Ovis aries: one gene and its partners. The protein of the gene in region 7 purifies or fractionates together with the protein of the main gene of each other region. This does not show direct contact. Links are inferred from orthologs where the notes say so. Each region holds a gene or a part of one and is shown on either strand. Other genes may lie near its edges. The genes, in order: SNRPB2, CCDC97, SMC1A, PRPF8, SF3B6, U2AF2 and SF3B3.

Region 1 (4,722 bases), on a different chromosome or scaffold from region 7:
TTGGGGGTAGTCTTTAAAACCTCTCCAAAACTTGCGAGCCCTCCTTTTTAAAGAAAAGAACAGTTCTCAGGTTGAAAACTTGGTGCCGCACCATTATCTAGTCAATTTTTAATAATATTCCTTTATTCCATACTTCTATTTTTATAACCTATTTCTTCCATGACAAGTGAGACTGTTTTTATCCATTTGCCTAATGAAACTTTTCCTTTTAAACAATATTTAAAAAGTGAATAGATTCGGTGAAAAATGAAAAAAACAAGCTAACTAATGCACGTTCAGTAAAAATCATAAGATACAGAACATTAATGAAATTGGCTAAGAATCCTTGCATGGGTACTCTCATAAAGCACTTCCATATTATTGCTTAATTTACACACACCATCACCAACAGTCCTGATTCCAAAGTCAAATGGAACCGACTTGAAACGCTGGTATAGTACAGCATGATGGTTAAAAACTTAGGATCTAGTGCCAGTGGATTTGAATTCAAATCTTTCTATGCTTCTTACTAGCTGCTTGACTGATGGCAAGTTCCTTAATTTCACAGGTTCATATCTGTAAAATGGGGATGGTGATTTGCCCAATAGAGCTCAGAAGACTAAATGAGATAAAATTCTTTGCAGCTTTAGAATGAGCAGTAAGCACTTACAACAGCTGTCACTGCTGTTTATCACAGAATAAAGCACAGATTCCCAGGTGGCTCAGTGGTAAAGCATCGGCCTGTCAACGCAGGAGACGCGGGCCCGAACCATGGGTCACGCAGATCCCCTGAAGGAAATGGCAACCCACTCCAGTATTCTTGCCTGGGAAATCCCATGGATAGAGGAGCCTGGCGGAATACAGTCCATGGGTCGCAAAGAGTGGAACATGATTTGGCGACGAAACAAAAAGTTAATGCAAGTTCTTTCCCACGGTTACATAGGTGATACGCAGGAGGCCTGAAAATTCAACCCTCGTTTTCTGTCTCTTGCACTTTTATTTCACACCCACCACACTATTTCATTTTTCCCACTCTTTAGTCACGAACTGGGACCTTGCTTTATTCCCTGATAACCCACATATACCTTCATTTCACAAACATTTACACTCATAGTACTTGCATAGCGTAGGATGTCTGACAAGCAAAACGCCTACAGATGAGGACTGTTCTGTAGGTTAACAGGTGAAAGGTAACGCAATCCCAAAGAAAGGCAATGCCAAAGAATGCTCCAACTACCGCACAATTGCACTGATCTCACATGCTAGTAAAATAACGCTCAAAATTCTCCAAGCCAGGCTTCAGCAATACGTGAACCATGAACTCCCTGATGTTCAAGCTGGTTTTAGAAAAGGCAGAGGAACCAGAGATCAAATTGCCAACATCCACTGGATCATGGAAAAAGCAAGAGAGTTTCAGAAAAACATCAATTTCTGCTTTATTGACTATGCCAAAGCCTTTGACTGTGTGGATCACAATCAACTGTGGAAAATTCTGAAAGAGATGGGAATACCAGACCACCTGACCTGCCTGTTGAGAAATCTGTATGCAGGTCAGGAAGCAACGGTTAGAACTGGACATGGAACAACAGACTGGTTCCAAATAGGAAAAGGAGTACGTCAAGGCTGTATATTGTCACCCTGCTTATTTAACTTCTATGCAGAGTACATCATGAGAAACGCTGGACTGGAAGAAACACAAGCTGGAATCAAGATTGCCAGGAGAAATATCAATCACCTCAGATATGCAGATGACACCACCCTTATGGCAGAAAGTGAAGAGGAACTAAAAAGCCTCTTGATGAAAGTGAAAGAGGAGAGTGAAAAAGTTGGCCTAAAGCTCAACATTCAGAAAATGAAGATCATGGCATCCAGTCCCATCACTTCATGGCAAATAGATGGGGAAACAGTGGCAACAGTGTCAGACTTTATTTTTGGGGGCTCCAAAATCACTGCAGATGGTGACTGCAGCCATGAAATTACAAGACACTTACTCCTTGGAAGAAAAGTTATGACCCACCTAGACAGCATATTCAAAAGCAGAGACATTACTTTGCCAACTAAGGTCCGTCTAGTCAAGGCTATGGTTTTTCCAGTGGTCATGTATGGATGTGAGAGTTGGACTGTGAAGAAGGCTGAGAGCCGAAGAATTGATGCTTTTGAACTGTGGTGTTGGAGAAGACACTTGAGAGTCCCTTGGACTGCAAGGAGATCCAACCAGTCCATTCTGAAGGAGATCAGCCCTGGGATTTCTTTGGAAGGAATGGTGCTAAAGCTGAAACTCCAGTACTTTGGCCACCTCATGAGACGAGTTGACTCACTGGAAAAGACTCTGATGCTGGGAGGGATAGGGGGCAGGAGGAGAAGGGGACGACCGAGAATGAGATGGCTGGATGGCATCAAGGACTCGATGGACGTGAGTCTGAGTGAACTCTGGGAGATGGTGATGAACAGGGAGGCCTGGCGTGCTGCGATTCATGGAGTCGCAAAGAGTCGGACACGACTGAGCGACTGAACTGAACTGAACGCCTCTCAGAGGTTTGAGACCCCTAAACTGAATCTTGGTGGATTGGTGACTCGAAGACGATGAAGAGAAGGAAGTGACAGGGATCAAACTGAGCAGGGGCGCAGGGAGTCGCCTTCCGGATTCAAAAGGGGAGCCTCTGGGAGGTCCCTGAGAACGCACGGCGCGCGGTAATCGCCTCGCATACGCGAAGGTTTTCCGTAACTTCACACGCGCGAGGGTGCCGGCTCTCCAGACGCAGCGACGTCCGCCCACGGGCTCCGCCCGAAGCCCCAGGAAGCGGCCACGCCATGCCCGGCCCCAAAGTGTCCCGCCTAAGACAAGCTCTAAGTCCAGGGGCCTCGCCAGACCCGAGCGTCAGTTTCCAGGCCTTCCTCGGCGACCCACCACGCACCCTCGGCTGCATATATTCCGGCCCCAGCGCAGCGGACCGCTTATTCTCGGCTCCCGCAGGGGAAGGTCTGCCTAAGCCGCAACCCGCAGCCAGAAGAGAGGAGAGAGCGAAGAAAAAAACCCCGCCAACTCACCGAACAGGTCCTCTACGTCCCGTAACAACCACAAGCCAGAACCCGGAAGCGGAACCAGCCACCGGAAATGACGCTACCACGCACCTCAATCGAAAGCCGATCAGTCAAGAAGCCGAGCCCAGAGTGGATCGATGTCCGTCGGTCTAGACCACAGTAAGTAATCGCTCTGAGCATGCGCACACCTGGTGGATGGGGAGAACAGGTGTGAAGGGGAAACGCGGTAAGGGAAATAGGCCTGGGGGAATTCTGTGGGTTTAACTCGAATTCTGGGGGAGCGCAGTAAGAGTATAAGGACAGACGGTGATCAGTTCCGTCACCATGAGTTAGCGCTGTTTAACCTAGAACATCCTGATAAACACATCTGTGGGCTTCCCTAGTGGTTCAGACGGTAAAGAATCAGCCTGCAATGCGGGAAACCTGGGTTCGATCCCTGGGTTGGGAAGATTCCCTGGAGGAGAGGGCATGACAACCCACCCCGGTATTCTTGCCTGTGAAATCCCGTGGACAGAGGAGCATGGTGGCCTGCACTCCATGGGATGGTCCAGTTGGACACGACTAGACAGGACAAACACATCAGTAAGTTGAAAGCACTGTAAGATGCAACTGAGAACACATGTAATAACACCTAACTTACCCAGCATCACACATTTAATCCAGACCTATCACAAAGGTGCTCAGAACACTCACAGTAGCCTTTTTGTTGTTAAGCCACTCAGTCGTGTCCGACTCTTTGCAGCCCCATGGACTGCAGCACACCAGCCTTCCCTGTCCTGCAGCATCTCCTGGAGCTTGCTCAAACTCATGTCCATTGAGTTGGTGATGCCATCCAACCATCTCATCCTCTGTCATCCCCTTCTCCTCCTGCCTTCAATCTTTCCCAGCATCAGGGTCTTTCCTAATGAATCAGTACTTCACATCAGGTGACCACTGTATTGGAACTTCAGCTTCAGCATCAGTCCTTCCAATGGATATTCAGGATTGATGCCCTTTAAGATTGACTGGTTGGATCTCCTTGCAGTCCAGGGGACTTTCAAGTGTCTTCTCCAACAACACAGTTCAAAAGCATCAATTCTTCAGTGCTCAGCCTTCTTTATGGTCCAACCCTCGCATCCATATGTGACTACTGAAAAAACCATAATTTGACTAGATGGACCTTTGTTGGCAAAGTAATGTCTCTGCTTTTAATATCCTGTCTAGGTTGGTCATAGCTTTTCTTCAAGGAGCAAGCGTCTTTTAATTCCACTGCTTCAGTCACCATAGGCAGTGATTTTAGAGCCCAAGAAAATAGTCTCTCACTGTTTCCATTGTTCCTCCAAATGTTTGCCATGAAATGATGGTACTGGATTCCAAGTCCTTCATTTTCTGAATGTTGAGTTTTAAGCCAGCTTTTTTATTCTCCTCTTTGACTTTCATCATGAGGCTCATTAGTTCTTCGCTTTCATCCATAAGAGTGGTGTCATCTGCATATCTGAGGTTATTGATATTTCCCCTGACAATCTTGATTCCAGCTTGTGCTCTATCCAGGCTGGCATTTGGTATGATGTACTCTGCATATAAGTTAAATAAGCAGGGTGACAATATAAAGCCTTGATGTATTTCTTTCCCAATTTTGAACCAGTCCATTGTTCCATGTCCGGTTCTAACTGTTCCTTCTTGACCTGCATACGGATTTTTCAGGAGGCAGGTCAGGTGGTC
Region 2 (4,550 bases), about 49 Mb from region 7:
CACCCTAAGCAAGAGATTGACAGTTCAGTGGGGAAGGCAGACAAATGGAAACATGATTAGTAGAAACAATAGTGTGTTAGGTGGTTCCAGGAGCCGTGCAGGAAAATTAAGAGGGAAGGAGGAGGGCTGGTGCACTGGGATGACCCAGAGAGATGGTATGGGGAGGGAGGTGGGAGGGGGGCTCAGGATTGGGAACACGTGTATACCCATGGCAGATTCATGTTGATGTATGGCAAAACCAATACAGTATTGTAGAGTAAAATAAAAAAAGAGAGAAGGAGGAGGGTATGGGGGTCAGGCTGCAGTTTTAAGTGGACAGTCAGTGAAGGTCTTGCCAAAAAAGTGACATTTCAGTTAGAGACCTGAGGCCATCAGGGACTGAGCCATGAGATTTCTGTGGGAAGTGGCAGAGGAAAGAGCCAGTGCAAAGGCCCCGAGAGAGAAGTGTGCTTGGTGTGTTTCCTTATCCTTGACCACTTCAGTCACTGATTCACTCTATTTTGCCTTTTCCCTTGTTCATGAAATCTTCCATACATTCACTAACTCCACTCACTCATCCATCCTTCTCTCCTACTCACACACATCCATCTAACCACTCTTCAGCAACTCTAAATCTGTGCTGGGCCCTGAGCTGGGCAACGCTGAAGACCCACTGAGGGATCCAAATCAGCTCCCAGGGAGCACCTGGTCTGATGGGAGAAGACAGACAAGGTCAAAGCCAGTACAGGCACTGGAAACAGAAAAGCTGAGGGCTGGGCAAGCCTTGGTGAGAGCTGTTTTCTCAAAAGTGGCGGGAACTGGAGCAAGGCTACTGCAAGCAGGAAATAAGCGAAGAGGGGAAGTATAGACAACTCCTCTAGGTAGCTTGACTGGGATGGGGAAGAGAAAGAGGGTGGTGATTATGGTGCAATGGGCTTCAGGGAGCGTTTTAATCACTGAGGCAAGAGAAGACTGGGCTGGACCATGTAAGGGGCTGTGGAAGAGAGGATAGATTAAAAAGATGCTTGAGAGGCTGACTAGGACAAGTCATGGGATTGAAGGGCTGGAAGGCGAGGAAGGCATTCAGTTAAGGTCCAGGCCTCTGGCCAGTAAACTGGTCAAACTGTCCCTGACACACAGGCATGGATGAGGAGCACATTTGGGGGAAGATGTTGAGACCAATTTGGGACATGGATGGTATGACAGGCCCAGGAGACACCCAAGGGAAGGCATTTATGAGACTGCTGGTACCTGGGGCTGGAGACTTCTCAGGAGAGAAGTGCTGCTCTGGGGACAGTTACAGAAGTCATCAGAGACAAGGAAAGCGGTGGAGCTGAAGGAAAAAAGTCACAGGGAGGGTACAGGAGAGTGTGTGAGGGATGAAAAGAGAGGAGGGACTAAGAAAGAGCCATGACTGGATGGGAAGGAGGCTGTGAGAGGCTAAAAATGGCCCCCCAATATAGCCACATCTTAATTCCTGGAACCAGTGAATGTTAACCTTACATGGCCAAAACCCCCCCCCAAAACTCAGAAGGTCTTTGCAGATGTGATTAAGGTATGGACCTTGAAATAGGGGGATTCTTTTGGATTATCCTGGTGGGCCCTAAATGCCATTACAAGCGTCCTGTCATAGCGAGATCTGATGCACCCAGAGGAGAAGGCAAGGTGAAGACAGAGCAGAGATTGGAGTGATGTGGGATCAAACCACGGAATGCAAGGAGCCACCAGAAGCTAGGAGAGCTGAGGAATGGGTTCTCCTTAGAGCCTCCTCAGCCCTGCTGACACCTTGATGTCAACTCAGTGATACTGATTTCAGACTCCTGGCCTCCAGAACTGTGAGAGAAGAAATTTCTGTTGTTTTAAGCCACTCAATTTGTGGTCATTTGCTACAGCAGCCATGGGAAACTAATGCTGGCTGAGCAGGAGGAGCCTGAGAGATAGGAAGGAAATCAGAAAGAATGGTGTCACAGAAACCAAAGAAAAACATTCAGTAAAGACAGAGGGGTCAATGGCATCAAATTCTCCAAGTAGTTTAATAAGAAAAAAAAAACCTGAACAGGGCCATGTGGTTTAACTACAGAGTGGGGCTTCCTTGGTGGTACAATGGTTGAGAATCCACCTTGCAATGCAAGGGACACCGGTTCAATCCCTGGTCCGGGAAGATCCCACATGCCTTGGAGCAAATAAACCCGTAGATCACGACTACTGAGCCTGTGCTCTGCAACAAGAGAAGCCACCACAGTGAGAAGCCTGTGCATCGCAACAAAGAGTAGCCCCTGGCTCTCCACAACTAGAGAAAGCCTGCATGTAGCAACAAAGAGCCACCCCAGCCATAAATAAATAAATACATACATAAATCTTTCTTAAGACAAAAAAAAAAACAAAAAACACACAACTACACAGGGAGGTCACTGGGGACCCTAATCAGTGCAGTTTCTGAAGGTAAAAGCCAGACAGCAGTGGGTGGAAAGAGGAGGCAAGTGTAAATGACTCTTTGGAGAAGATTAAATGGTATCTGGAAGGCGGCATGGAATCAAGGGATAGCTTTTTAGGTTAAAACTTGCAAAACAAAAGCATTTTAGGTACTGATGGGAGAGGCATCAGGAGAAATAAAGAGATTGAAAACGCAAAAGAGAGCACAGAAATGGATTAACGACCCTGAGTAAGCAGATGGGACTGTGGACTTTCGGAGAAAGGGAATTAGAGTGAAATGTGGGGAGGCGTTAGCAAAGAAGAGTTTGCGTGGGAGGGGAGGAGTCAAGGGAAGGAGGTAACATGAGAAAGCAAGGTTGGCTGAGATAATGCGAGAGTTAGCCCAGGACAGGGACAGGTTTGCTAGCCTGAGTTAGCCTCGTAAGGAAACGGGTTAGCCCGGGACACCGAAAGAACTGGAAGAGGTTAATTTCAGGGGAGGCGATGGGATAAAAGAGGTCAGCCTGCCAAGACAGGGGTTAATCTGGACAAAGCGGTGAAGCGGACAGGTAAGGCCGAGGACAGGTGCCCTCTTTTATACAGTCCTCCTTCACCTTCAAGGGGAAACATTTCACAGTGACACTGCAGCCCCACCCTCCTGCCGCCTCCGCGCGGCCAGGACCTCACCTTCACCAGGTTCCCTCGCCGCGGTCACTACGGCCTCCATCCCGACCGTCTACGACTTGTTACCCGCCGTGGCGAGCTCCTAACACCAATTCCTGACGCAGGTCTTTAGAGGCCACTTCCGGCTGAGTACATTCCTGGGACCGGGTGCTCCACGGCATCAAGAACTAAAGTTCCGGGACGAAGGCGGCCCTTCCTCTGCGCACGCGTGCTGCTGCCCGACCCCGCCCACTCCAGCCGGGCAGGAAAAGCGCGCCAGGGCCAGATGGGCTCTTCCGGGCCACCCCCGCCAACCTGAACCGCTACGAAATTGTGGGGTTTCAGGAGGGAAGCAGTGTTCAACCTGTGCACTACTGACCCCAGAGCCCAGCATGCTTCATTTGGGAATGGATGAATCACCACCCTTCATGACCTCTGAGTGCTTGGGCTCTGGTTTAGACCTGTCTATTCTCTTCACCACCTCAAAGAATATTTGCTAAGTCTTGTAGCATGCCTGTCATCACACCCAGTCCCTGGTTAGCACGATTGGTGGTGAGATCAGAGACTGAACGTCCCACTTTGTTTCCAGGACCTGAAGAATCTGCAGGTGTGGAAAGAAGACCTTGGTCTTAATTTGCCCTAGGTGGTAGGTAAGGACTGGCATTCAAACCACTGACCAAATGGACAGGGCTGATGGACCCACAGGTTCAGCTAAGGGAGCTGTCCGTCCCAGCCTGGAGGGCCCAAGGAAGGTTTCTTTCTGGGAGTGAAGGATACCCTGAGACCTGAAAGATGAGCAGGAATTAGGGTAAGAGGGAGGTAGAGAAGGGTCTCATGTAGGAAGTGGGCAAGGCAAAGCCCTAGAAGGGAAGGCAGGTATCCATAGTTCTGTTTGCTGCAAGGACTTCAGTATGGTCAAGGAGTGAAATGAAAAGTAAAGTCGCTCAGTCATATCTGACTTTTTGCGACCCCATGGACTGAGGAGCCTGGTAGGCAAGAGTGCTGGAGTGAGTTGCTATTTCCTTCTCCAGGGGATCTTCCCAACCCAGAGACTGAACCTGGGTCTCCCTCATTGCAGGCAGACGCTTCCATCTGAGCCACCAGAAGTAGGAAAGTTCAAACTTGGCCCTGACCAGACTGCAAGGATCGGAGACTCTCATGATCTATGCAAAGTTCCAAATACACATGCGTTTCCAAGGCAGAAGTTCATGGCATTTAGAGCCTAAAAGGGATCTGTGGCTCTCCCTAAACAGCTTAGTGATTTGAAGTTTGAAAGGGGAGTGGCAAAAGATAAAACCAGTGAGGTCACCAGGCCCAAGTATGTGGGCCACGTAAGCCGAATTAAGTAGCTTGAGCTCCTTGATCCTGCGGAGAGCTAGAAGAGGGTGAGGGCATCAGGGTAATGGACTGGAGGACAGCGAGATCTGTGAGGAGGCTGATGCAGTAACCCTGATATTATGGCTGAACGCAGAGGAGTAACTTCCTATTTGCCCCCC
Region 3 (4,064 bases), on a different chromosome or scaffold from region 7:
ATGCCTTACAAGATTAGGGGTGATGGTCCAGAGAAAAGGAAGTAACAGTAGTCTTAACAGTAATGACCATAGTTAACATCTAGCATGGGGCTTCTCTGGTGGCTCAGTGGTAAAGAATCTGCCTGCCAATGCAGGAGACACAGGTTTGGTCCCTGGGAACATTCTCCTGGAGAAGGAAATGGCAACCCATTCTAGTATTCTTGCCTGGGAAATTCCATGGACAGAGGAGCCTGGCGGGCTACAGTCCATGGGATCTCAAAAGAGTTGGACATAGCGACTAAACAACAAAAGGCAAGCTCTTACTGTGTGCTAGGCACTGTTTTTACATATATGCAGTCATCTTTTAAAATATTTATTTATTTGTCTGTTTTGTTTTTGGCTGTCCTGGTTTTTAGTTGCTGCTTGCAGGCTTTCTCTAGTTGCAGTGCTCAGACTTCTCATTGCAGTGGCTTCTCTTTTTGTGGCGCACAGGCTCTCGGGCCCACGGGCTTCAATAACTGTGGCTCTTGGGCTCCAGAAAGCTGGCTCAGTAGTTGTGGAACATAGGCTTACTTGCTCTGCAGCATGTGGGATCTTCTGGACCAGGGATCAAACCTCTGTCCCCTGCATTGGCAGGTGAATTCTTAACCATGGGACTACCAGGGAGGTCCCTGCCTAAGGTTATTAACTGGCAGAACTGGGATATGAACCTGGGCAGTGTAGCCCACACTTTTTTGGTTTTTTTTTGGCTGCACCTTGTGGCATGTGGAATCTTAGTTCTCTGACCAGGGGTTGAATCTGCACCCCCTGCAGTAGAAGGATAGAGTCCTAGCCACTGGACCACCAGGGAAGTCCCGGAAGCCCACACTTTCAAGTATATTTCACTTACCACCTTCCTAATAACAATCATAGTAAAATAATAGGAATGATGGAAAGTTGTTATAATATTCCAAGAGCCTACAATGTTCCAGGCATTGTGGTGCTGCTGCTGCTGCTGCTGCTAAGTCACTTCAGTCATGTCCGACTGTGTGCGGCCCCATAGACAGCAGCCCACAAGGCTCCACCGTCCCTGGGATTCTCCAGGCAAGAATACTGAAGTGGGTTGCCATTTCCTTCTCCAATGCATGAAAGTGAAAAGTGAAAGTGAAGTCATTCAGTCGTGTCCAACTCTTAGCGACCCCATGGACTGCAGCCCACCAGGCTCCTCCGTCCATGGGATTTTCCAGGCAAGAGTGCTGGAGTGGGTTGCCATTGCCTTCTCCGGGCGTTGTGCTAAGCAGTTTTAAATGTTTAAAAGAAGGTATTAGGCATTAATTAATAGCTAGGGGCTTCCCAGGTATGCTAGTAGTAAAGAATCCACCTGCCAATTCAGGAGATAAGCGTTCAATCCCTGGGTCGGAAAGATCCTCTGGAGTAGGAAATGGCAACGCATTCCAGTATTCTTGCCTGGCAAATTCCATGAACAGGAGCCTGGTACACTAGAGTCCATGGGGCCGCAAAGAGTAGGACATGACTGAGCAATTGAGTGCACACACACACAGAATTAGTGGCTAATACATGTTAAGCACTTAATGTGTATTCTATGAAGTGGAAGTTACCTGCATTTTATAGATGATAAAGCAGAAGTGCAGAAAGGCCCAGAAAGCTTTACTTTGTCTTGGTTTGAGCCTGCCTGCTTGGTGAGGAAGATGTTCCAGGCTGGGTAGAACACCTATGAGAGGGTCTCATAGGGCCCATGGTGGCCCCATCAGTTAGCAGAGGCACACTGAACACTGTTTATATCCGATTTTTAATAGGCCTCTTATACTAGTGACAGATTGTCTGTGATTGTTAGGCTGTTAGAATGATTAGGCATATGGGGGATGAGCCAGGACTCTATGGTCTTGGCCTTAACTTGCTCAGCCTATGGTGATGTAGTGTTTTTGTCTCTCTCCCAGGCCAAGATCAAGCAAAAGCTGCGGGAGATTGAAGAGAATCAGAAACGGATTGAGAAACTAGAGGAATACATCACAACCAGCAAGTATGTGGCTTTGTAACATTCCCTCTTATCTCCAGGCCTGTTCTTGTGAACCCTACCTGTCCTGCCCCTCCCCAGGAAGGACCCTCATCATCCCTCTCGGCCAGGAATATTTTCTGGCCAGCCAGGGTAACCCCAGTATTTCCTCACTTTGTAGGCAGTCTCTAGAGGAGCAGAAGAAACTAGAGGGGGAGCTGACAGAGGAGGTGGAGATGGCCAAGCGGCGTATTGATGAGATTAATAAGGAGCTGAACCAGGTAATGGAGCAGCTGGGGGATGCCCGCATCGACCGCCAAGAGAGCAGCCGCCAACAGCGAAAGGCAGAAATTATGGAAAGCATCAAGCGCCTGTACCCTGGTTCTGTGGTAAGAGTCGAAAGGGAATTCATTTCCTGACCACTGTCTTTCATACTCACTGTCAGATAATTTTCCCAGCAGCCCCATGAGGACAGATTGCTAATTCCATTTTTACACCTGGGGAAAACAGGGTCAGAGAGGTTGAATGACTTGCTCAAAACAGCATAGCTTATATGTATAAGAACTGCAATTCAAATCCAACTTGTTCTTACTCTTAACCTTGTGTTCTTTTCATTGCACCAGTTGTATCTTTCTGAAAGTTTTGTCTTGCTTGTGTCCACTCCTTTATGGGAGGTGGAGAAAGTGAAGAGGCCTTTGGGAAAGGGAAGGGGCTGCAGGGCAGGAATTAGTTCCCAGGATGTATCAGTAGCTTTGTGCAGGCTTCAGTGTGAGCTCCTTAAGCATATAACAGTCAGCTCATTTACTAGGTTCTTTTGGCCTCTTGAATGAAATCCTGAGTTTCCAGATTCCCTGAATATTATCCCTCTATTGCTGTAATTCCATCCCTGGGTTCAACTTAATTGGGTTCTACAAATATTTCTTGATCATTTCCGTAGATCAGGGGTCCCCAACCTCCAGGATCTAATGCCTGATGATCTGAGGTGGAGCTGATGTAATAATAATAGAAATAAAATGCACAATAAATGTAATGTGGGATGATTCAAGCGCGTTGCATTTATTGTGCTCTTTATTTGTGGAACCAAATTAAGTTGCATAATGCCTGTGGTGCCAGTGGTCTATGAAATGGTAAAAGTGAGGTTTAGAAAGATGATTCTGGATTCAGACATGACTGCCTGAAGTTGTTGTTGCTTTGGGGCCAGTGAAGTGAAGTCGCTCAGTCATGTCCGACTCTTTGCGACCCCATGGACTGTAGCCTACCAGGCTCCTCTGTCCATGGGATTTTCCAGGCAATAGTCCTGGAGTGAATTGCCATTTCCTTCTCCAGGGGATCTTCCCAACCCAGGGATCAAACCCGGGTCTCCCTCTTTGTAGACAGACGCTTTACCATCTGAGCCACCAGGGAAGTCCAGAGTAGGCCTTTTCCCCATAGTTTGGGAGCTGTGCTCCTGATAGAGATTCTGACCTGCTATCCCCCTTCTAAGCTAGGAGTTAGGGTTCCTGAGCCAGCTCTCAAAAACTTCATGCTTCATTCACTCTTCTGACTTTCCTTAGTACGGCCGCCTCATTGACCTCTGCCAGCCCACACAAAAGAAGTATCAGATTGCAGTAACCAAGGTTTTGGGCAAGAACATGGATGCTATAATTGTGGACTCAGAGAAGACAGGCCGGGACTGCATTCAGTATATCAAGGAGCAGCGTGGGGAGCCTGAAACCTTCTTGCCTCTTGATTACCTGGAGGTGAGGCTGGTGGTGATGGGGTCAGGGCAGTGTGAGAGGGCTGCTCCTCCTAGCCCTCCATGTTCAGCCACTTAACTAAGCTTTTTCTCATAGGTAAAACCTACAGATGAGAAACTCCGGGAGCTGAAGGGGGCAAAGCTGGTGATTGATGTGATTCGCTATGAGCCACCTCACATCAAAAAGGCCCTGCAGTATGCTTGTGGCAATGCCCTTGTCTGTGACAATGTGGAGGATGCCCGCCGCATTGCCTTTGGAGGCCACCAGCGCCACAAGGTATGGATTCCCTTGCCACATTGTAGCTGGATAGGCTTAGTATTGGCGATTCCTTTGTTCAGCTTCTCTCCCCTCCTCTC
Region 4 (4,064 bases), on a different chromosome or scaffold from region 7:
CAACTGAGTTGTCAGCACAATGAATCCAAACTGATGGGGCAAGAACAGAATATACCGCCACTTTTCTAGATCTTTGAGTTGCACAGCAAATCTGGGGCTGATCACCTCACGACAGTTGTTTAATCTGCCCGTAAAGTTCACAGTTTTGCCTGCTTTGTGATCACTAGTGATTTCAAACTCACCAGTATCATGCTGCCTCGTCACCACAGCTAGAAACTGGACAATGACTTTGAAATACAACCTGATAAGAACCTAGACTTCCCTTTCTTTTTGGTATAACTGATGCTCTTGAGAGCAACAGCCAGGACATTCACGTGCACCATTTCTAGAACGGGAAAACAGCAGAAAGAGCAAGGCGACTTTTTAAACCTTGATAAAACATAAGCCCACACAGTTAAGTAATCTTCAGATTACTCTTTCTCAATTCCAGCTGCCTTCCAAAGGGGTGGAGTGGGGGGCTTTGGAAGCAACTGAAGAGGAAATAAACAAAGATACCTTGTTATACTTGCTTTTTAACATGCATGCTATATTAAAGGTCAAAAGATTAAATGTATGACCTGGATAACAAGCCTTCAAATTTTTTTTTTTTTTTCAAGCCTTCAAATTTAAAAATCCCACTTCTACTCTCAACTTAGAAGCATCGCAACTACACGGATGTAGGCTATAGAATTCCTACAGGGAATTCTCAGGAAACCACTGTAAATTGATCTGACACTCTAAGCTGCTGTACCATGAAGCATGGAGACTGTACTCTGAACACAGCTGGGAAAGAAGAACAATAAAGCAGGGAAGGACCGAAGGGATGAGCTGGACAGAGGCCACGACTACTGTGCGTACCTTCGTGAAGGTGGTGGAGCCAGAGGCCATCAGGATTTGGCGCACGCGGTTGTGGAAGCGCTGCATTGACTCATCATCCACACGCAGGAAACACTGAGCTGTCCGCTCTTTAGTCACCTACATCACAAGCTCAAGGTTAACCACCTCTGGAAATGCCAGGGGAACAAGAAACAACTCTGACCACCACTAAGCCCTAGGCTCCCAGGAAGGCCCAGCTGACAATGGAAAGTGTGCTGCGCCTTTCACCCCACACCTGTGAGGATGCAGCTGGGCCTACTCCTGCCCCCGGCCCCACCTGAGACTGTACCTCGTTCTGTAGGTTCCAGACCCCGTCCTTGTGGGTGAACTCCTCATAGCTGGTGCGGCACTTAGGCAGGATGCGGCACTCAAAACCACACATGTTGAACAGCAGGTTGGGGTTGTCCTTACTGTACACGGATACGAAGCTGTTCTCCCACTGAACTGTAGTCACTGAGCGTGGCAGACGGTTCTTGATGTCCCAGAACACTGCCCGACCCCTGCCCACAGAGAACACAGGGTCACATAGGTCTCTTGGAAGGAGCTTCCCTTCAAAGGCCAGCTAGACTGATGACGTCCTGACAGAACACGCCCTCCCACCCAGGACACCGCCTGATCAAGTCCCTTTAATCATCCTCTGGGTCCCTCAGGCTTAGACTCACAGGTTGACATCATGCTTCATTAGGCGCATGCGGGCGTCTCGGGGCCAGCACTTCTTGTTATTGTAGCCAACGATGTTTTCGTTGTTGGGGTCAGGGTGCTCTGTCAGGTAACGCTGGATAAGGTCCCGAGCCTCATCCGCTGTGAACCTACAGAGACAAGGTGCGTGGCTGAGGCCCAAGGACACTGGATCTCATGAGGCCTATGGCTCCACAGGTGGAGGCCACTCCCAATTCCCACCCTACTCACAGGACTTCATCCCATTTCAGAGCGCCAACCCAGCAGCAAGTCAACTAAAGTACAATAGCTGCTTCAGAAGCTGGGCAAGGACCTCAACACAATAAGACTCCAGGCAAGCACTCACCTGAAGAATATATGGATGCGATCAATGTATCTGCAGAAGAGACGGATGGGGTGGGCAGCCTCGGTGGCTATGTCTTGGAAACTGAGGAAATCATTTGGCATTTGAGGTGGCCCGGCCATCTCACTGGCTCGGTGCAATCCCAACACAAGCAAGTCCATCACCAGGCCATAGTATTGTACGATGAAAGAGGCAAACTGCAGGCCTCTGATGATCCCATATGAATTTGTATGGTTCATGTCCTAGAAAGAAAGACAATTCTTAACCACAGCCAAATCCCAGGGTTTTCAGGGCCCATCCTCTTCTGCCTTCCCCTCGCCACGGAAATCCCAACTCAGTGGGCCCGACCACCTCCCGCTTCCCCCAATTCCTTGCCACCCTGACCCAAGACACACCTTGTAATTGATAACGACGTTGTTCTTGGCTGTCATGTAGTCAGCTATGTTGTGGTCAACGATGAGACGCAGCAGCCTATTGAGCAAGGTCAAGTCAATCTTCTCATACATCTTCTCAAATCGTGACTCCAGCATGACATTGCACTCACCCTCGCTTGTCTCCCACACATCCTGCAGGTTATTGATGCCTGGGGGGGAAGAAACACAAAGCTCTGGCAGGTTAGAAGTTCCCTTTCAGGACTAGAGCCTACAGAGCCGTCACATTCCTATCCAGATCTTAAGACCACTCCATTCATTGGATTGCTAGCTAGCAGAGTCAAATCACTCAGTGTAACATCAACACCATTTCTTTGGTACCAGGCATCAAGAAAGTAAACTAATTATGCTATCTGGATGAGAATTTCAATGTAGAAATTAAGGTATCTGCCTTCCTTAGAGGCAACCCCAGAAAAGTTTTACCTTGGCACCACTTGTAAACAAGCAGAGGAGGTGGTTCTGTGTCTGCAGGCTTGATCCAGGGTGGGAACAGGCGGCGCTTGTCAGCTTCGTACCATAGGTACTGGTCCAGGTAGGCATCAGTGATCTTCTCCAGCGGCTCCACATCATACACTGGCACCAAGTGGCTATAGAGGTCCATGAACTCAATGCCCACCTGTGGGACAAGGAAGCTGGCTCACACCAACCCACCAAACACCCTGGGTGCCATGAATGAATCACACAGCCAAAAGAAAACGTGTGGGGCATCTCACTCACTTCTTTAAAGGCTCTCTGTGTGAGGAGGTGACGCTTGATGCGGGACAGCGCCTCATGGGGGTTGTCATAGGCCTGCTCGATCAGACCTAGCTCCTCCCTCTGAGACTGGTTTAACCGAGACTTCACACTGACAAGGCAAAAGAAAAGGTGAATGAGGGCACTTCCCTGCTGGTCCAGTGATTAGGAATCCACCTGCCAAAGCAGGGGACATGGGTTCAATCCCTGGCCTGGCCAGGAATATTTCACATGCCGTGGGGGTAACTAAACCCATGCACTGTTAACTTCTGAGCCCAAGCTCCAGAGCCCATGCTCCACAAAAGAAACCACTGCAATGAGAAACCCACACACTGCAAGTAGAGTAGCCCCTGTTTGCTGCAACAAGAGAAGGCCCAAGGGCAACAATGAAGACCCAGTGCAGGCAAAAAATAAATTTAAACAGTGTGAATGGGAAAACCAAGAGGAAGCCATCCCCAGAAAGGCCTTCTGTGGACTCTAAAAATGATGCCACTCTGTGTCCATCACCTCCCTACAGGGACCTGTCGACTCTACTCCTCACCTGTAAGCTTCCTTGAGCCGCTCCAAAGCCAAGATCAGCAACTTGGTGTCATGCTTATAGGAGAGCGGGGGGAAGGGGATGGGCGAGAATCTACGGCTTTCCAGCCAATGCACAGTTGTGGTATACACTGCCACCGCTTCCTCTGCTGTGATGTATGGACCATCCTGCAAGGTGGATATGAGAGTCAGCTTCCCACTGCAGCCTCATCCCACCAGGGCCAGGCACGGTCCCAACTCTGCAGTCTGCCCTCCTACTCGCCCTCCGTGCCCCTAGCCCAGCCTATTCCATCCAACCTTTAGGTAGTTGTGCTGCCGCTCCTGCTCGGCCTTCAGGTAGAGCCGAGTCAGGCGGCCCAGGTTCTTTTTGCACACGGTCTTGTCTACAGTGGCCCCGCGGCGGATGCGTTCTCGGTTGTAGTGGGCGGTGTTGGTCCACCAGTCAGCCTTGGCCTTCACATACCGAAGAATCATATTCTCTATCGGTG
Region 5 (3,429 bases), on a different chromosome or scaffold from region 7:
AAAAGGGCAAATACATGTTTTTTTTTCTTTTTACTCCTACAGTGAGTGCTATGCATACAGCAAGTGCTAATAAGCATCTGAAGGATGGAGATATACTTTTTCCTATCAGTTCTCACACACATCTTTTTTTCCAGGAAGCTAACAAAACAAGAGCATCTCTCTTTTTCCTCTTACATCTTCTTAGGAAGTAGAAGCAGGACAGGCACTAAACCCATTTTAAAGATGCTCCATCTCAAGTGCCCCAGCCCCTAATTATCAACTTAGTATCTTGAAATCTGCATTGTAATTTTAATTAAAAACATATACTTGGTACCTACTATTAATATATGTTAGGTGCTGAGTCAACAGTATTTTCTTCCTTTGGCCACACCACACAATTTATGGGATTTTAGTTCCCTGACCAGGGACTGAATCTGGGCCCTCGGCAGTGAGAGCTTGGCTCTTAACCACTGGACCACCACGGAATTCCTCCAACATTATTTTCTTATCAATGGTAAAAGCTTAAAGTAAAAATAAGGAGATCTACTCATGGAACAACCTCTCTGAGCTTCAGCTGTTTCATGTGTCAAATAGTGACATCCTACCTCACACATGGTTTTCATAAACAAAAGATGTAACAAGTATGAAAGAGCTTTAAAAAGTTCAAAGCACCGAGAGTCTGCTACATGCCAGGTGAGCTGACAAATCGGCCGGGTTTGTCCAAGACTGTCCAGGTCTGGGCACTGAAAGTCTACTGTCCCAGAAAACTCCTTGGCTCTGGGCAAACTGAGAAGGCCACTCACCCTACTGCTGGGTGCCACAGAGCATGCCCACAGCTACAGGACAGGAAACATCTGTTCCTCAATCAATAACTTAGACCCAAGTTCTTGCATACCAAACTTTTATGAATTTATTCAACAAATATAGATAGCGTTCTTTCTACATGACAGGTGCTGGAAATCCAATAGTGAAAAAGATGAGCATCATCCCTTCCTTCAAGGGGCTCTTTTCATGCAGGAGAAAGATATTATATAAATAAATACAAAACAGTTGCAGTTAATGAGAGATTAATGGGAAGACAGGGGTTACTTTAGCTACGGTGGTCTAGGAAAACCACTCTGGCATTAAAGCTGAGACCTGAAGAATGAGGAGCCCGGAATGAGATGAGCTGGGTGGAAATCCACCCCAGACAGTGGACTGAAAGTTCTAAGGCCCTGAGCTACTCTGCAATCTTTATCTTGACTTAACTCCACTAATCTCTTAATTGTATACTATCAATAAATTTTGTTATACCTTTATAAATACACTGCCACTTTCTATATTATTAATTTACTTACAGGCACCGGGTGCTCAACATGTGCCAGGCACAACAAGGGTTGTCAACTAAGTGGAAAGAATATATGGTTACCTGCCCTGGAGGAATCCAAAGGCTGGCAGGAGCCATAAGTGGGCACACAGTCAACAGCAAAACCATATGACAACTAAGAGAACAAGCTATGGGAGCACAGAGACGGGGTAGCTGATGCACATTGGGAAGGAAATACTCAAAGTGTGAACTATCTAATTTGATCCTCTGGGAAATTCTTCTAGAAAGATTTTATATCATAGATAAACTCCAGAAGGTTAACTATTTTGCTGTTTCATATGACTAGCAAGTACCCAGTTGGTATTCGAACCTAGGTTATCATACTGCCTCCATGTTAAAAGCTGAAAGGCACTATCCATTCAGATTATCTTCTATGTGAGGAAAAAGCCAGGCAACTTGTCTAGAGTCACAGGATTCATCCTGAAGCAGAATCTTGTCTCCTGAACACCAAGTCAAGGGATCTTCTGTATACCATTCTTGTATGTCTCAAGCAGGAGTTCTTAACCTAGAGCTCATGTACCCACTGAAATCACATGTGAAATGTTGTGTGTATTCTGCAGAAAGGGCCCAAAGCTTTTATCAAATTTGGAAAAAAAAGAGTTCCTTAAAAGGACAATTGATTTATAACACTTCATCTCAGTTTTGAGTACCAATGATGGTACATGTCTAGCTCTTCGTTTACTTTTTGGAGGAACAGTGATCACTGAAAAGGAGAATCCTCAAGATCTCACAGAGTTCTAAAAGCCAAGAAGGAACTCTCAAGTCATGAAAGAATTCCAATGGAAAATAAAATCTTTAGAAATCCTCTTAGATGGACTCCTAGTTAATTTGCTCATGTATACTAGTTAAAAGGACAGCAGCTGTGGTACTATGCAGAGATTCAATTTAGAATCACAAGATTTTATCACTAAAGAGCTGGGTGAAACTAGAAAAGTATTGATACTTTTACTCTCTGAGCTTTAGTAGTCTCACCTGTGAAACAGACACCCTATCACTTCCACACAGGGTTGTAGTGTCAGTGATGCAAATAAAAGCACCTATTAGGACAAATGGCATACAGAAGATGTTCAATAGATATCATCTGAAGCCCCAATCTCTAGATTAAATTAAAACATGGATTTATAATTACTTTGCCCTATATTTCTAAATCTTCAACAGAAAGGTGTAGTTGCAAAAAAATCATTTTTCTGTTACTTTTATATTTCTTTACACAACTTACTCAGAAATTTTGGAGTCAGTAAAGGAGACAGTGAAGACTTGAGAAAATTAAGAGTAACCACAGTAGAATACTTCTTTACAAACAGTAGGTATATAAAAAAATGTCAGTTCTTTTTCTTCCCATCTGTTGCCTTCAAACCACTCATTACTACTTCATGCTCTCTATAATTTCACAACTACCATTCTTGGCTTTCACTGAGTTGGATCATGAGGGTCTCTAGGCTTAGTCTCTAGCCTCTTGGTAAGGCCCTCTGTCAGCTGTTAATTCTGAGTTATAAATTACACAATCATTTCTCTAAATGACATTTCAAGAGTTTCACTAAGACTCACACTCTGATTTGACGAATAGGTCCATATTTCCCAAATATATCATACATTTCTTCAGCTGTGATTTTGTAAGGCAAATTTCTTATATACAAAATCCGATTTACTTCTGGTGGAAGTCGAATCTAAAATGAAAGATAATGGGTTATCATTATAATCAGAGGCAACAGTGCTACCATTTGAAAAACTGTCTCATAACACATTCTAAAAAAAAAGATACATAAATTTATACACCAAGAATAAGAATTATAATCTGACATTAATGAAAATGGCATGCTTTTGGGAAAAGCAACTGGGCGCTGGTTATAGGGAGGGCTGTTGTGAAATCGCTCAGTCGTGTTCGACTCTTTGCAATCCCATGGATTGTAGCCTACCGGTCTCCTCAGTCTATGGAATTTTCCAGGCAAGAATACTGGAGTGGGTTGCCATTTCCTTCTCCAGGGGATCTTCCCGACCCAGGGATTGAACCCTGGTCTCCTGCATCGCAGGCAGACGCTTTACTGTCTGAGCCACCAGGGAAGGGAGGGCTGTTAGTAGGAACT
Region 6 (4,646 bases), about 62 Mb from region 7:
AGTCCCTCGGTTCAAAGAGGCCACTGGTTCCTCCACTATGCTCAACCAGCCCTCAGACTCCAGTTCATTTTACAAGGAGGCGGGGGCAGTAAGGACAGGCTGTCAAAGCCTCGGGCGTACTGCTTCAACTCTCAAGCTCTTCCGAAGCAACTACCCGCGAACTTTTATAAATGAGTTTTAACACTAAAGCTACATACGCACCCAGAAAAGAAAAAAACCTCGTTGCAAACACTCAGATCCTGTCTAAAACCAGACTCTGCTGCTTTTACTCCCCGGGTTACTGTGGGGAAACACTTGCTGGGAGCGGGAATCTCGCTCACAACAGACGAGAAAATTGAGGCTTAGGGAGGTCATGTGACTTGCCCTGGCCAAAAAGCCTGGATACAGGTGAAGCCTGAATATGAACCCTGAAAGGTCAAGGGCAGCTAGGCAGGGGCAATACCTCTAAACACGAAACAGGCAGACCCATTAGGACCTGGCTGGAACCACTGGTGATGGTGAAATTGCCTCCTCAAAGATGAAAAGACTAAACGTGAAAAATATATCCAAGACTGGCACCAGGAGGAACGGGCAAGCAGTGTGAGGAGCATCCTGGTCCTGGGAAGGGGATGGACAACGGTTCTGGGCCTCTGGCTCCCCACTGCTAAGACGGGGAGACACCCTTCCCTGCAGCTGAGGCTCAGAAACAGACAACCAGAGAGAGGTGGTCACACAGTAAGCACTGGTGCCCGCCGGGTGTCATGGACACAAACACGGAACCCAGGTCGCAGGGGCTGAGGCCTGGGGGAGGCAGGACCGCCAAGACAGACTCAGGGGCAGAGCAGCACGTGGGCAAAGCTGCCCCATAAAGCAAGGGAAACCCCTGCCCCACCCCAGAAAAAAAAAAAACAAAAACAAAAACAGAATGATCCAGCACACATCAGAACAGAAGGGGAGCTCTGGCTGCTCTAAATGCCACGGCCACGTCGTTATGGAACAACTCACCAACCCCAGGGACATGCCCAGGCTGAGGGCCTGGCCTCCCAGGGCAGAGGGGACACCCAGGCAGAGACCAGAGCGCGGGTGTCAGGGCCCCAGGGCAGCTCCATCAGCTCTGGCTGTCCAGCCTGGAAGGACGCGACTCCGCAGCCCCGCAGACTCAGGGGCCGTTTCAGCTTCCTGCACAAAACCGTGCAACAGCAACCAAACCTCTAAACCTGTTTTCTCCTGTTATTTAAATGAGGCTCTTGGGCACCCCCAGGTGTACGGCTTGGGTACATCTGCTGGAAACGCGCGTCCACATTTCCGTGTGAGCCCGCACATTATGAACGATTTCACCGTTGAAAAGGTTCACTTATTGGGTACTTTAAAGAGGCCAAGCCACATGCCACACACTGTCGGCATGTTGCCCGCTGAATCTCAGCTCTGCCTCTCATCAGCTGAAATCTGGAAAGCTTTTATTCTTGAGTCTGTTTCCACCTCTGCGAAGGGTACGAAATCACTTCAGCCTCGCGGAGCTGTTACAAGAACCCTCTTAGGAAAACTGCAGAAGAGCTTAGCAACGTGCGTGACACACTGTGGTGGGTGCTGTAAACTTAACTATTATCACTATCATCTGTTAGCGACCAAAAAAAACACCAGCGACCTACGTGAGAAAAAAATAGGCCCACAAATACTCAGGCACTCATCAGGTGCTACTCATCGTCTGCTCCCCTCCAAAGCCCGTGCTGTTAAGCAGTGCATCACGTATGGGACAGACAACCTGTGGGTAGGTACGCTTCCCCAGGCACAGTCTACTGATCCAGCCACCCCCTCCCCAACTTCAGGCTGGGCCGAAAGGTGAATCCCAGCGCCCCTCACTCAGCGTTCCAGACACAAGCAGAGTAAGCCTCAAGCCCGCCACCTTCCCTCGACCCAAATTTGTTCACTCTCAAACCGGATTAAGGCGGCAAGGAAATCTGCTAACTGTCCTACAACTCTCCCAGCGCTAACGTTCTTGGAGTCCCCAAACTAATCACAGCCCCGTGCTTGGACTCGCCGTCTCCCGAGGGGGACGAGCTTCCCACCCTCTGAAGTGAAACGAGCCCTCTCCTCGCTCAGTGCCCAAGAATCCGCTCCACGCTGAGATTTAGGAGGCTGGCGCGATCATGCAGGCCGTGGGGAGCGATGACAGACAAACACTCCGCACTGCGACCGCCGGGGGAGCCAGGGCCCCAAGAAGGGGTGCAGGGGTGCGGGAGGGGCACAGAGCACGGACAATGCGGCCTCTTCCACCGCCGCCAACCCTAGCAGCCCGCGGGGTCCCGGCGGCCGGTGAGCAGGAAGAAGGGCAAAGGCGCCGGGGTGAGAGGTGCTCCCCACGCGGCACTGCCAGCGCCCACGTGAAGGGGGACCCACAACCGCCATTTTGGAACAAAGGGGGCGTGGAGAACCAGGCCTAACCAGCCGGAAGCGGAAGTGCCAGGGCGTCGGGCGAAAAGGAGTTGCTGGACTCATCTATACAATCCCCTTTCCAGATTAAAAAACGCATAAATCCGTGAGGTGACACCAGGCGAGCCCGCTGCGCCAGCGCCGCCTCCAACGCGACCACTCTAGGCGCGGAGCGGAGCGCGGTGCGCATGCGTCCGGGTCGGCGCCCGCCGCCCCCTCCCCGCCGCGCGTGGCACGCCGGGCGGTCACGTGAGCGAGGCGCGCGCCGCGGGACGGGAGGGGGGGTGCGCCGCGCGGCCCTAAGAAGAGGGGGAAGCGACGGGAAAAATGGCGGGGGACACGGAGGGAAGCCAAGAACCGCCCCGCCCGCTGCCCCTCTCCCCCGGCACTCTCACCTTGCTTATTCTCGTTGAGCTGCCGCTCGAACTCGTCGAAGTCCGACATGCTGAGGCGGCCGCGTAGGGCGCTGTGCAGCTTTCGCTTCGCCTTGCCGCGCGCCCGCTCCGGCCGCTTCGGCTACTTCCGCCGCTAGCTTCGGCTACTTCCGGCCGCCGCCGGCGCTCCGCCGCCTCCTACCTAATCAAGGCCTGGCTGCCCGCCCCGCCCCGCCCCGGCTCCGCCCCTCACCGCCTGCGCGCCCGCGAGGTGCCCCTCCCCCCAGGGTCTGGCGCCGAAACGCGTCGGCTATTTCCGGACCGTAGAGGAAAGCGTCCGGAGCGGTGACTACGGCTGCTTCCGAAAACACCCGAAGTGAGGGTTTCGCGGACTCTCCCAAGTTTTCGTAACTTTTCGGATATTAGCTCTTCCACGTTCGGATGTTTTCGGAGTTCCTTGCGTTCCTCTGTACCCAGCCCCCTCTAAGAATCCGGCTTCTTCTGAAAATTCAAACCGTCCCTTTGACTGCTTGCGCTGATTCTCCCCGCTCTTCTCCGCCGGCCCAGTCCAAGCGAATCGGCTACTTCCGACAGTCCTAACCGTCCCGGAGTCGGCACTTTCCGAAGGTTTCCGGCGCTCGCCTTCGGACCCAGTCAGAGATCTAGCTGTTTCCAAACTTCGGTTCCTTCCGGAGATTCCAGTGGCACCCTCCTCCCCTCCCGGAGAACTTCGGCTCCTTCCGCCACCACTTCGGGAAGACCCCCCACTCACGGGTGACAGCTTCGGCTTTTTCCGTCAGTGCTTCGGCTCCTTCCGGCTCCGGGAACCGAAAAGGGAGGGAGGACAGAGGCGAGGTGGGTCAGGGGAGAGGAAACGGAGAAGGGCAGCGTCCCAGCTCTCGGCACCTGACTCTCCGGGTGGGGAAAGGGGAGGAAAAGAAGGGCCGCTCCTGTGGAGAGCCTAAGAAGGCTGCGCGAGACAAAAGCAGCCAGCGGGGTAAAGGGTGCGCGCGGCCGCTGCGGAGGTTGCCAGCGCGGCTTTGTGCGCCTGCGCAGGGTGAAAGAGGCGGGGGGGGCGAGATGGGCTTCTGCGCCTGCGTTAGACGTCGGTCTGAGGCGAGGTTTCTCAGCCGCTCCAGAAAGGCCCCCCCACCCCTGCTTCCAGAGCCCTCAGCGCGCGTGCGCGAGTCTTCCCCTTACCCCGGGGAGGGCACTGCATTCCCAACCGTTAAGCTACGCCGCCTCTTTACTAGTTGCCGTGGCGACCGCACAAGCGCGCTCGCCCCGCCGCGCAGGCGCCGCGGAGGACACTTCCGGGAGACGGATAATCTCGCGATACCGCCTCCTGGCGGACTCCTCAGCTCGGAGGTTCCCGGCTGCCCCGGCAGGCCACCTCCGTCGGAGGTCATGGAGTCCCTCCTGCCGCCGCGCCTCTGGTCCCAGTAGCCCAGCGGGTGGTGCTCACGCACTTTCCCCGAAGTGCTGCCCCGCCCCCAGGGCACAACTGCCTCCCCTCCCACCCCTGCCTTTGCGGGAGCTAATTACACCCTTTCTCGCCCAGTTCCCCGGCTCCCGCCTGACGGTCCACGCTCCGGAATCCTCCAGAGCCCCCGTCCCCGCGGCAACGGCCACCCCCTGCCCAGGAAAAGGCCGGGGCCTAGTTTATTCCAAATTTTATCATTTTAATTTAAATTATCTTAATAGCTCTGTCTCGTGTGGACTCGGGCGGTCTCGGAAGGCGGGTGGGAAGCTCGCTGCGGGGCTGGGGTGCGGACGGGATATGTACAGTGGCCTCGCCCCGCAGGGTCCCGCAGTCTTCCCCAGGAGGGAGGGCCCAGCGAGGGCAGGACGGTGCCGCTCAGA
Region 7 (4,064 bases):
GTCAAATACACGATCAACATCTTAGAAATTAGGATTTCTTTTCTGGAATTCAGCACCTTACCAATAAGGATCAAACAGGCCACCAAATGTCTAGAGGCACCTGGAGTCTCTCCATGCAAGCTGTGACCCAGAGCAGCTTGCCAACCAGAGGATTATATAACACAATAAACAGAAATTCTTGTCTACTATAAATACATAATAAAGCTTAGGTTAAAAAAAAAAAAAGCCACAATTCCACTCTACAGCCTGATCAGATTAATAAGGCAAAAACTATCTCCAGAGAAAAATGTCAGAGAAGAGACATGAAATTTAAAGAATCATCATTTCAGGCTGTAAATAAGACTCTTACACGTTCACAGTACTATCCAAACCACCAACACCATCCCTCTTCTGTCTTTATCAACTTGCCAAAATCCCAAAAGGCATCCCCCTCAACTGGATTTTGTTTCTTTTTAAGTATTTCCAACATTTTGTATTTCTCTCAAAGGCAAAACATGTTTTATATTTCTTTGTAGTCCCAAAGTCAAGTACAGCACCTGGCAGTCAGGTGCTCAATAAATTTCTGATAACTAAACTTTATTACTTAACACCACTCCAAAAATTTAACTTGCTAATCTTACCAAATTTTCTAAAATTGATGTAATCTTACTCAAGTACCATGTACTAGATAAACTATGTCTTAAAAAGATTTAACCCCAGGACCTATAAATTAATATTAAAAAGAAAATTAATTTGGGGTGAAAAGAGTTTGAGGAAGCAGAGATCAATGAAGATTACCCATGTGCTGCTGATAACTGAAGCTGGGTACACAGAACTTAATTATAATCATCCCTCAACACCTGCAAGGGATTAGTCTGAGCCTCGAGGCCCCAGATACCAAAATCCACGGATACCCAAATCTCTTAAAAACGGGGTAGTACAAGGAACTGTTGTAAAGTGTAATGATCCCTACAACTTATCTTCAAATGGTCTTGCCTAAAAAACACAGATACAAAACAAAGAAAAGGCCAATGTAGCAGAGCAGTACTAGTAAGTGAAGCTAAGTGAAAAGTTTATAGGAATTCACTGTCTGCTCCTTTTAGATTTTGTCTATGCTGGAATGGGGTGGGGTAGGGGAGAATGAAAGACTATTTACCTGTAATGAATACACCTGGATTCTTCAAACTAGAAACTTTCAGGAATTGCAAATGGATAATGTTCATAGGTTCTTCAAGAATGAAAATTGTATCTGCTTTTTTAAAAACCGAAGCACAACTGACTTACAATATCATGCTAGTTTTAGGTGCACAGCCCAGAACTGTGCTGATTTTCAATTTTCTTTCTCAGATTTTGTTTTGTTGTGCTAAAATACTTACTGACTTTACTAAAAACACTTAACAAAAATTAAGTTCATTTCACAACATAAATATATTCTCTTATGGTAACAAAGACCTACCCGTCTCCTGGGAATTGGACAGCGGATATCCGGTTGGTCACCGAAGTTCTTATAGGTAATGTAGTTTTCGGAGCAGATTAGCACTCCACTTGGACCATCTGATCCCCCTGGAACTGTCATGAGAAAACAATAACTAGTACTATGAATTTAACCTTCAATTCCTTCTCTCCTTCAGCACAACTTAAAGGTGCCTGAAGGGGCTAAACATTCAACGTGTTTCTTTTCCCTGAGAGTTACACTAGACAAGGATGGAACACCATTTGGGTGATCTCAGCCTGTCCAGATATCTAGTAAGGCATCTAAAAGTTTAGCTCCAAGCCCAGAACTCAGTTCTCAGCTTCGGACCTATAATCCAACTGCCTGATGGACACTCTTACATGGATATTCCATAGCAGGTTAAAAATGAACGCATTCACAAACCACTGCCAAGTTCCTTACCAAACCATTTCCTGGGTTCTCAACCTTAGAGAACACTGTCATCAACCAATCGACCAAACCATCCTTTCTGCAGCAAAAAGGATGTAACCCTTCAATTCTCTCCTCTCCCACACTGGTTCTACCTCTTCAGCAGTCCTCATGCTGCAAACCTCTTTTGGTTTAATGGAAATGCTTCCTGACCTTACCACCTTCCATTCCATTACCAAAATGTAATCATGTGATCTTTCTAAAACATTCACCTTTAATAGGTCATTATTCTTCTGCTTCCTCCACCCCAGCTCTTCACCTCCAATGATCCAACCACAATGAGCTTTCAGTTTTCAATGAACCATGTTTTTTCCCTGCATTTGGGCTTTTGTGCATTCTATTTCCTCTGCCCACAACAGAAACTCCTCCTCCACCCTCATGGCCCCTAACTCCTAACTATTCCTTAGTCCTCGGCTAAGAGCACTTCTGAAAGCTTTCTCTAATGCACTGCCTTCCTTTTCTGGTTAGGAACCCCTCCTCCATGCTGTCACGGCATGTGGCACACTCTGGTAATTTTTGTGTTACTAGTATGTATTCACCATTATACTCAATCTTGTATATAAGGAGACACCACAACAACTTTTTCACCACGCAGTCCCAGGGGCCAGCAGATTGACTTTGCACGTAGTGATCACAGAGGTTCAGTAAACATTTGTTTAATGAATGAAACCCTTGTAAATGAGAAGTATCATAATACATAATAACAAGTAATTAACATAATCTATTTTTTAAAATGCTTCTGCTTTATAGTCTCTTCCTAAGATTTAACACTCAAAGACAACTGCTATTTTATATTTTTCTTCTCCAAAATCCTATCCAACAACAGACATACTTCATTTTAGACATCAAATGCAAATGACTCAAAACAGAAAGGACTGGATCACCATCTTAGATGAGCCTGATACAATTTAGACATCACAAATATAGTTGTCCTTTAGTCTTTTAATATAATGAATTAAACTAATATTGATTCTTCATGGTGAACCTCTTTGAGCTCCTACAAAAATCATACTTTGCTATGACGCATATAAAACACTGTTGAATATGATTTGCTAAAATTTAAGATTTCTGCATCTACCATCAAAGGATAACTAGGCTGTAAATATTTCTTATTACTGTCCTTCCCCAGTTTTGGTATGAAGTTATACTAAGCTCTTAAAGTGGTACATAGGTTTTTATTCTTTTTCTGATCGCTCAAGAAACTTAAGGTCCCTAAAAATTCTGGACCTTAAATCTTCTGAGGAAAAGAAATTTTTGATTATTGCCCCAATTTTTTAAACAAATGTTGGTCTATTCAGGTTCTTAATTTCATCTTCTATCAATTTTGGTGACAGTTTTCAAAAATATTTCTATTTCATCTAGGCTTTCAAACTGAAGGACAGTTTTATCTTGTTTCATCCACAACATGCCTTTTCACAGAGCCAGATTTTGATTTTTGTAATGAGAGTGAAAGATTGACTACAGTCAAAACACCAGAGCAGCCACCAGAAATCAATATTCCAAGCCGACTGCTCTTTCTTTCTCTATCCCATTAGAGGGTAAGAGTTAACCACCACATGAATTTCTAACATCCCCAAAACACAGACAAGGCACTCAGGTTTACTATGAATAGATTATAGCTTCCAAATCCTATTAAGTAAACACTCCTAAGTTTGGGCATAAAATGTACCAAGCAAAATGGTACAAAGCAGATGGAAGAAAAAAGTACCTGTAATTAGGAAGTTTCCATGTTCCTCCAAAGGCTCACTGTATTTTCGGACTACGTGATTTAAACCAAGGTCTAATTCATAGAAAGTAAGCGTCTGCTGGGTATTAGCTGCTGCTTCCCCAGTTGGATCATTGTCTGCTTCCTAGGTAACAGTGGCACAAAGACTAATCAGTACCATAAAGTCAAACTTTCAAAGCTGAAAGTAAAAGAGTGGATGCATGTATGTGTGTAACTGATTCACTTTGCTGTACACCTGAAACCAATACAACATTACAAATCAACTATACTCCAGTAAGAATTATTCAAATAAACGAATAAAGCTGAAAAGGCCATTAAGAGTCTTCCATTTCACAAACCAGGAAATAGTGGTCCACAGATGCCAAATGCTTTGCCAAAATTCACACTAAAAAATGGCAGAACGGGTGCAAGAACCCAAGTTTTCTACTTCTGGGACCA

What was found.
Region 1: the proteins of SF3B3 (region 7) and SNRPB2 purify together in Homo sapiens (affinity purification with mass spectrometry; 4 studies listed by BioGRID and IntAct, with this or other methods). This does not show direct contact. The link is inferred for Ovis aries from reciprocal best matches to the Homo sapiens genes SF3B3 and SNRPB2.
Region 2: the proteins of SF3B3 (region 7) and CCDC97 purify together in Homo sapiens (affinity purification with mass spectrometry; 3 studies listed by BioGRID and IntAct, counting the BioPlex papers as one, with this or other methods). This does not show direct contact. The link is inferred for Ovis aries from reciprocal best matches to the Homo sapiens genes SF3B3 and CCDC97.
Region 3: the proteins of SF3B3 (region 7) and SMC1A fractionate together in Homo sapiens (co-fractionation; 3 studies listed by BioGRID, with this or other methods). This does not show direct contact. The link is inferred for Ovis aries from reciprocal best matches to the Homo sapiens genes SF3B3 and SMC1A.
Region 4: the proteins of SF3B3 (region 7) and PRPF8 fractionate together in Homo sapiens (co-fractionation; 4 studies listed by BioGRID, with this or other methods). This does not show direct contact. The link is inferred for Ovis aries from reciprocal best matches to the Homo sapiens genes SF3B3 and PRPF8.
Region 5: the proteins of SF3B3 (region 7) and SF3B6 fractionate together in Homo sapiens (co-fractionation; 5 studies listed by BioGRID and IntAct, with this or other methods). This does not show direct contact. The link is inferred for Ovis aries from reciprocal best matches to the Homo sapiens genes SF3B3 and SF3B6.
Region 6: the proteins of SF3B3 (region 7) and U2AF2 purify together in Homo sapiens (affinity purification with mass spectrometry; 4 studies listed by BioGRID and IntAct, with this or other methods). This does not show direct contact. The link is inferred for Ovis aries from reciprocal best matches to the Homo sapiens genes SF3B3 and U2AF2.

Annotation. Positions count from the first base shown.
Region 1 is NC_056066.1:10,386,739-10,391,460, reverse strand, and holds the start of SNRPB2 (U2 small nuclear ribonucleoprotein B''), read right to left. Parts: upstream 3,088-4,722; 5' UTR 650-3,087; intron 1-649. UniProt on the Homo sapiens protein: Involved in pre-mRNA splicing as component of the spliceosome. Associated with sn-RNP U2, where it contributes to the binding of stem loop IV of U2 snRNA.
Region 2 is NC_056067.1:50,031,319-50,035,868, reverse strand, and holds the start of CCDC97 (coiled-coil domain-containing protein 97), read right to left. Parts: upstream 3,186-4,550; 5' UTR 3,119-3,185; coding exon 3,079-3,118; intron 1-3,078. UniProt on the Homo sapiens protein: May play a role pre-mRNA splicing through the association with the splicing factor SF3B complex which is involved in branch-site recognition.
Region 3 is NC_056080.1:51,281,250-51,285,313, reverse strand, and holds part of SMC1A (structural maintenance of chromosomes protein 1A), read left to right. Parts: intron 1-1,916; coding exon 1,917-1,999; intron 2,000-2,153; coding exon 2,154-2,361; intron 2,362-3,525; coding exon 3,526-3,711; intron 3,712-3,804; coding exon 3,805-3,984; intron 3,985-4,064. UniProt on the Homo sapiens protein: Involved in chromosome cohesion during cell cycle and in DNA repair. Central component of cohesin complex. The cohesin complex is required for the cohesion of sister chromatids after DNA replication.
Region 4 is NC_056064.1:22,665,138-22,669,201, forward strand, and holds part of PRPF8 (pre-mRNA-processing-splicing factor 8), read right to left. Parts: coding exon 3,874-4,064; intron 3,745-3,873; coding exon 3,581-3,744; intron 3,152-3,580; coding exon 3,025-3,151; intron 2,924-3,024; coding exon 2,731-2,923; intron 2,460-2,730; coding exon 2,272-2,459; intron 2,119-2,271; coding exon 1,880-2,118; intron 1,665-1,879; coding exon 1,518-1,664; intron 1,356-1,517; coding exon 1,145-1,355; intron 955-1,144; coding exon 838-954; intron 1-837. UniProt on the Homo sapiens protein: Plays a role in pre-mRNA splicing as core component of precatalytic, catalytic and postcatalytic spliceosomal complexes, both of the predominant U2-type spliceosome and the minor U12-type spliceosome.
Region 5 is NC_056056.1:31,743,962-31,747,390, forward strand, and holds part of SF3B6 (splicing factor 3B subunit 6), read right to left. Parts: intron 3,013-3,429; coding exon 2,894-3,012; intron 1-2,893.
Region 6 is NC_056067.1:62,669,769-62,674,414, forward strand, and holds the start of U2AF2 (splicing factor U2AF 65 kDa subunit), read right to left. Parts: upstream 2,963-4,646; 5' UTR 2,854-2,962; coding exon 2,805-2,853; intron 1-2,804. UniProt on the Homo sapiens protein: Plays a role in pre-mRNA splicing and 3'-end processing. By recruiting PRPF19 and the PRP19C/Prp19 complex/NTC/Nineteen complex to the RNA polymerase II C-terminal domain (CTD), and thereby pre-mRNA, may couple transcription to splicing.
Region 7 is NC_056067.1:1,105,426-1,109,489, forward strand, and holds part of SF3B3 (splicing factor 3B subunit 3), read right to left. Parts: intron 3,751-4,064; coding exon 3,609-3,750; intron 1,549-3,608; coding exon 1,436-1,548; intron 334-1,435; exon of another isoform or gene 243-333; intron 1-242. UniProt on the Homo sapiens protein: Component of the 17S U2 SnRNP complex of the spliceosome, a large ribonucleoprotein complex that removes introns from transcribed pre-mRNAs.